Xenopus tropicalis: one gene and its partner. The protein of the gene in region 2 interacts with the protein of the main gene of each other region in a pairwise test. Links are inferred from orthologs where the notes say so. Each region holds a gene or a part of one and is shown on either strand. Other genes may lie near its edges.

The links.
Region 1: the proteins of hmbox1 (region 2) and abitram interact in binary tests that used the Homo sapiens proteins (3 or more experiments, as listed by UniProt). The two-hybrid records come from large-scale screens. The link is inferred for Xenopus tropicalis from reciprocal best matches to the Homo sapiens genes HMBOX1 and ABITRAM.

Annotation. Positions count from the first base shown.
Region 1 is NC_030682.2:76,821,534-76,825,190, forward strand, and holds part of abitram (protein Abitram), read left to right. Parts: intron 1-834; coding exon 835-964; intron 965-3,657. UniProt on the Homo sapiens protein: Actin-binding protein that regulates actin polymerization, filopodia dynamics and increases the branching of proximal dendrites of developing neurons.
Region 2 is NC_030681.2:151,834,994-151,838,650, forward strand, and holds part of hmbox1 (homeobox-containing protein 1), read right to left. Parts: intron 1,010-3,657; coding exon 853-1,009; intron 1-852. UniProt on the Homo sapiens protein: Binds directly to 5'-TTAGGG-3' repeats in telomeric DNA. Associates with the telomerase complex at sites of active telomere processing and positively regulates telomere elongation.

The DNA of each region.
Region 1 (3,657 bases), on a different chromosome or scaffold from region 2:
TTTGAAAAATATTTGCTTAGCATTCATTCAATCTTTGGATTTAAAACACCTTTGATTTCAAGGCAAAGTTTACAGAAATATGAAAAAACCATAAATATCCAAAACAGTGTGCATTCTGAAAACCCCTGTTGCAGCGCCGGATTTTAATTCCAGGCGCCCCAAGGCCACCCCCCTGGCGCGCATGCGCAAAAATCTCCCCTCCCCCCCCGCAGACGCAAGTGCGCATGCGCAGCCATTCAAACTACCATACGGAACAGTGGGGAGAAGTCCCCATTGCTCCGTATGGCCGCAAAATGTTAAATTTTCGCTGCGGCGGGGCGGCATTCCGCCCCTAAATTTGTGCCGCCCTAGGTCCGGGCCTTTGTGGCCTCGCCACAAATCCGGGCCTGCCCTGTTGTAAACACAATGAGTAGAAGTACACAAGCAAAAAAGTGCTGATGTGGTCTTAACATATAACTTGTGTCAGGCCCCAGGGGGCATTGTTTACTAATGAGGATATAGCAATAATTAAAAAAATGTCACTGTTTTTACCAAAACTGCAGTGTTTTCCATAGAACTACAATATAATTTTGACTGCCACAAGTTGTAGCAAAATTTGGCACACACCATTATGTGCAAGCTAGGCAGCAACATGCGCAAAGTTTAACCCTATTTGGAAATGGTGCACTAGCATCATTTTGGACCGTAGAAAGCAGTTTCAAATAGTTATTATTTTGTTCTGTGAAGGTAAGGAAACTCTTAAATTGTATTAAAGTAGTGTTTGCATCAAGCCTAAATTTTACTGTGTATTAGGACGTTGTTTATTTTGGCTTTTTTTTCTTTTTGCATCTGCAGAATCTGTATTATTACACTAGCAGAATGTCACCCACTTCTTCAAAATGGAAAAACCATTAAAACTATTAGTTACCAGATCAGTGCCAATTGCAGCAGACTGCAGAACAAAGTCTCTGGAAAATCCAAAAGGGTAAGAGATACTGAGTACAAGTTGCAGTGTAATCTCTGAATCTCTATAGAATCTGAATGCATGCTTTATTACTATTTAGGGATTAGTGGCGCTTTAAATTTTCGTTGTGGGGCTCATTGACAGAAGGAATAAATAAAAAGAAGGTCTGTAAAGGGTTTTTCAGCCAAACAGTCAAATCAAAATAACCAGTTTATAAAGCTGAAAGCAATTACTGATTTCTTAATCATTTTCATGCATGAGTTTTTTGCTATACGTGAAACACCACACGAGGCATGTGCTTGAGTGCAGACAGAGGAAGCAGATTTTGGAGCAGCAATACATACACTTGTGTTTTTGCACCAAAAACTACTCCATGAGGCCAGAGGGAGGAGTGAATTGGCTGTTTCTCTGCTTTCATTTATTTGCAGGCAGAGAAACAGTTGGAACTTTTTATTTGTAATATCATTTGCATATTTGCAACCTTTGCTGAAACTGCATTTTGCAAAATGGTCCCCTGTAAAGACCCCTGTAATTCTGAATGTAAACACCTGTATAATGCATAATCAAAAATGTATCTAGCTATAGCCTAGCTACCAGGGCACCAGGGAATGCTGCCAGAAATTTCTGAAGAGTTCCTTGTGTGATTTCTCTGGCCCTAGCATAAAATACAGTGCCGTTAATTCTACACATCATTGTACATTTTCTGTATGCAGCAGTATAGATATGATTCAAAATGCTTAAAAGGCAATATATATTTTATATGTGTTACTGATGCAGCTTGCAGTATCATTATCAAAAATAACATTGTTTTCATTCTGGTTGATCACAAATGATGGCATCCTGGAGTCCTCAGGTTATGTTATAATCTCATTACAAGAAGGCAGGAGAGGGATATGACTAGTAGTCCATTTTAAGTAACTGGCCAAAGAAAAATTATGCTGACATACCTTTTTCTTACTGTCCTTATTCAAAATTAAAAATGGTCTGTGAAGTAGTAGTAGTTTTAAAGTTATGTATGTAATGGCTATTAAAGGCATTATATAACTGTTTATATTCACTACAGTGAAGCCAGGTAACAGTCCTGGAGGACACCTGGGTTCTGCTGCACAGTTTGAAAAGCCAGACCCAATAACAAAAATAGATAAACATAATTGCAGTTATTTTTACAAATTAGTTCTTAATCAGTGAGTCTTTTAATCAATGTATATTTAAGCATAGTCATTCTTTAGAGAGGTCCCTTTTATGTTTTTTTTTAACAGACTTGCCTATATAAATGAATTGGTACTGATCTGCTGCTTCTCTTCATCTGGGCAGAATTCAATATCTGCAGTAGTACTTGGCATCATATAACCATGTTTTCTTAGGGCTGCTGTTTTTTATATTAATTTAATTATGAGCTGGGCTGTCTACTGAATCTGAAAGGTTAATAATAACCCTAATAACCATCTCTGTTAGTTCAGCCTTGCTAATTATTGCCATGATATTTGTGATTACGTGGATAAAGTAGAACAAACTAATAGAGCCACTGTTTCTGAATCCAATCCCTCTCCTCCTAGACTCAGCACACAGTAAAAGGACAAGCCACGACTGCCTGTCAGATATAACCCTGATCTGGCAGCTGAATGACAGTATTTGACATCACTGAACATCCACTTTGAAATCTTTTAATACCTGCCACATTGGTTGTCCAGCGGTTAATATTCCTGCTACATCTCCTTAATCACTTAGATTTCCTTCTCCTCCTGTAACCCACTCAGCCCCCCTCGGGAATTGGCTTTGATTTCTGGCTTGCCAGACATGCTCAATTGTTCTAAGCTCAGATTACTAAACGCGCCCTCCAGTCTAGCAGCCAGTAAAGAGATGGCATTTCTGGTTCCCATAGAAACTCAGCTCTAGCTGTCTGCTTCAATGTTTTTCTTCTAACCTCCTCTCCTGAGCTCTGCTCAAACAAAGCAGAACTTTTATCAGAGACAGTTCTGCCTGTGTGAGCCTGTATTATTGATGAAATGTATGCTGAATAAGAGTCTTTGGGGCCGATTCACTAAAGGTTGATAACGCTTATCGCATGCTTTTTTTGCGTTAAAAAGCATGTGTTAATTAAGTACCGATTCATCAAAGTCATTTCACATGCGTTATTTACCTCGCATTCCGTTAAGTCTCGCATAGAAATAATACTAACGAATGATTCACAAACATACATGAAGCGTTAAATGCACTAAATATCGCATTAGTCTGTGCGAAGATTAACACCTACTTGGGGCAGGCGGTACTGAAAGAAAATTGTGGTTCGTGAGCTTTTGGCAACACAACATGGACTTTGCAGTGGGATTTTTTCAAGTATGTGTTGGCTCTAGAGTGATGCATCCTCCAGTAGTTTCCCGAAAGTAATGGTTACGTGCGTAAAATCGTGCGCTAATATAGCACGCGGCAAAATATATTGCGTGCAGTGGGAAATAACGCACAGGGCAGGAAATAATGCAAGGCAAACGCTTATCGCAAGTTAAATAACGCAAAGAACAACGTGTCTTAATTATGCCGTTAAGTCGCAAAAAATAAGAAGCAGTAGGGGACAGAAGGGTAGGAGGGGTGGTTCATAGCTTGTACAAGCCAACAGATTTGCCGCTTTAGGTGAAGATGCTGGGGAAGACAGCTCTGAGCTGGCATGTATGGAGCAGGCTGACTCTCGGAGCACCCTGGGAGCCGGCACCTCTAAT
Region 2 (3,657 bases):
TCTGATACCTACTGGGAGCTGCTATCTTGCTCCCTTCCCATTGTTCTGCTGATCGGCTGCTGGGGGTGAGGGGGGGATATCACTCCAACTTGCAGCGCAGCAGTAAAGTGTGCCCGAGTCTGAGCTTTCAGCCAGCGCTACACATTAGAACTGCTTTTAGCTAATTGTTTCAGCTATTGTTTCTCCTACTCCCATGTAACTGGAGGAGTCCCAAGCCGGACTTGGATTTCTTACTATTGAGTGCTATTCTGATACCTACTGGGAGCTGCTATCTTGCTCCCTTCCCATTATTATGCTGATCGGCTGCTGGGGGGGGGGATATCACTCCAACTTGCAACGCAGCAGTAAAGTGTGACTGAGTCTGAGCTTTCAGAAGGAGCCAGCGCTACACATTAGAACTGCTTTCAGCTAACCTATTGTTTCTCCTACTCCCATGTAACTGGAGGAGTCCCAAGCCGGACTTGGATTTCTTACTATTGAGTGCTATTCTGATACCTACTGGGAGCTGCTATCTTGCTCCCTTCCCATTGTTCTGCTGATCGGCTGCTGGGGGTGAGGGGGGGGGATATCACTCCAACTTGCAGCGCAGCAGTAAAGTGTGAGTGAAGTTTATCAGAGCACAGGTCACATGGCTGTGGCACACTGGGAAATGAAGAATATGGCTAGCCCCATGGGAAAAACAGATTACAATGCAGGATTCTGCTGGAGAAGCTCTATTAACTGATGCGTTTTGAAAAAAAACATGTTTTCCCATGACAGTATTCCTTTAATGGTGAGGGCCAGTTAATTAGTATCATTTCCCAGCCATGCCAAACATAGATTGCACAGTACGGTGTCTGCCTAGGGTCATACCTTTCCATCACAGCCAAGCATTCCTTCCTCCAGGTGAACCGACTTCCCCTTCGTAACCGGAAGGTGCCGGAAGTGGCGGTGACAGGAGGCGGGGTCTGTCTCCATTCTGCGTCTGTGTCTATGGGGATAGGGGCAGGTCGCATGCTTAGTGTTGCACCTGGGGGTAAAAAGAAGAAAAAAACAAAAGTGACCAGAAGGGTTTGCATTAGTTCTATGAGCAAATTCTCTCGTTATACTGCGCTAATGAGGCCGAGGGTCTATCTGCTGCTGTAGTTTAGAGAGGAAAAGTCATTGGATGAGCTAATGAATCAGTTCTAACGGAGGAGATCCAATGAGCAGCAGTGGGGTAGTTAGCGCTGCATGCCTGCTATCATCTCCTTAGGATAAAACAAGGAAATGCGGGGTAATTAGAGGAAGGGATAGATTGCTCTACGTGACATTAGGGATGAGCGCTTATGTTTCGGCAGGAGGAGGAGGGCAGGGAGGTCCCTGGGTGCTCACACACTCCCTATAACGAATACGAGGAGCCTTGCTTCGAGCAGGCAGCAATGTGATTACGGGAGCTGCACAGCATCAGGCTGCCTAATTGGCTGGAAATGTGATTTACTAACCCCACAAGGTACCGCTGGAGATGAAATCACCGGCATTGTGTGGCGCTTCCGAGAAGCACAGAACAACTCATTGTGTAGAGCACAAAGATACTGCTCTGGGTGCAGGGCAGCCACTTAGCCAGCAGGATACCAACGGGCATAAAAAGTTTTGGATCCAATAATGTAACGTGGCGTTTAACCCCCCCCCGCCCCCATCATATGGATCACTGCTCCCAGCAATACGTCCAAAATGTATTATGCAACTGCCCGTAATATTTCTACATGGGACACATGGAACTCCTTTACCCCCACTGCTTCCTATTTAAAGGGGAAGGAAAGGTGAAATCAATAGGGGTTGCCAAATATTAGGCATATATATATAATCACTTAAAGGAACAGTAACACCAAAAAATTCAAGTGTATGAAAGAAATTCCAATATAATATACTGCTGCCCTGCACTGGTACAACTGGTGTTTTGCCTCAGAAACACTACTATGGTTTATATAAAGAATGCAGCTGTGTAGCCATGGGGGCAGCCATTCAAAGGAGAAAAGGCACAGGCACATAGCAGATAACAGATAAAACACTATTGTATTCTACAGAGCTTATCCGTTATCTGCTATGTAACCTGTGCCTTTTCTCCTTTTTTCCAGCTTGAATGGCTGCCCCCGTGGCTACACAGCAGCTTATTTATATAAACTATAGTAGAGTTACTGTAGCAAACACCCCAGCTGTACCAGTGCAGGAATGGCTGCCCCCGGGGCTACACAGCGGGGTATTTATATAAACTATAGTAGAGTTACTGTAGCAAACACCCCAGCTGTACCAGTGCAGGAATGGCTGCCCCCGGGGCTACACAGCGGGGTATTTATATAAACTATAGTAGGGTTTCTGTAGCAAACACCCCAGCTGTACCAGTGCAGGAATGGCTGCCCCCGGGGCTACACAGCGGGGTATTTATATAAACTATAGTAGGGTTTCTGTAGCAAACACCCCAGCTGTACCAGTGCAGGAATGGCTGCCCCCGGGGCTACACAGCGGGGTATTTATATAAACTATAGTAGGGTTTCTGTAGCAAACACCCCAGCTGTACCAGTGCAGGAATGGCTGCCCCCGGGGCTACACAGCGGGGTATTTATATAAACTATAGTAGGGTTTCTGTAGCAAACACCCCAGCTGTACCAGTGCAGGAATGGCTGCCCCCATGGCTACACAGCAGCTTATTTATATAAACTATAGTAGAGTTACTGTAGCGAACACACAACTTTTACCAGTGCAGGGCAACAGTACATTATATTTCATTTACTTTAAAACTCTTTAATTTTTTGGTGTTACTGTTCCTTTAACCGAGACCCTTTCCTTCTCCTTTAAGGAGAACTGCCCAGTATTTCCAAGGATTATTGTGCGTTACAGCGGTACCTGGTCTGGAACAAGTTTATTTTATTAAGGGCAAAACATTGCTAAAGTAACCCAAACATGTGAGGCTCCCACAAAGCAACTCACTCTAACCCTAATACACACCCTAACCCTAATACACACCCTAACCCTAATACACTAACCCTAATACACTAACCCTAACACACTAACCCTTACACACTAACCCTAACACACTAACCCTAACCCCAACACTAACCCTAACCCCAACACTAACCCTAACCCCAACACTAACCCTAACCCAAACACTAACCCTAACCCAAACACTAACCCTAACCCTAACCCTAACCCAAACACTAACCCTAACCCAAACACTAACCCTAACCCAAACACTAACCCTAACCCAAACACTAACACTAACCCAAACACTAACCCTAACCCAAACACTAACCCTAACCCAAACACTAACCCAAACACTAACACTAACCCAAACACTAACCCAAACACTAACCCTAACCCAAACACTAACCCTAACCCAAACACTAACCCTAACCCAAACACTAACCCTAACCCAAACACTAACCCTAACCCAAACACTAACCCTAACCCAAACACTAACCCTAACCCCAACACTAACCCTAACCCCAACACTAACCCTAACCCCAACACTAACCCTAACCCCAACACTAACCCTAACCCCAACACTAACCCTAACCCCAACACTAACCCTAACCCAAACACTAACCCTAACCCCAACACTAACCCTAACCCTAACCCCAACACTAACCCTAACCCCAACACTAACCCTAACCCAAACACTAACCCTAACCCCAACACTAA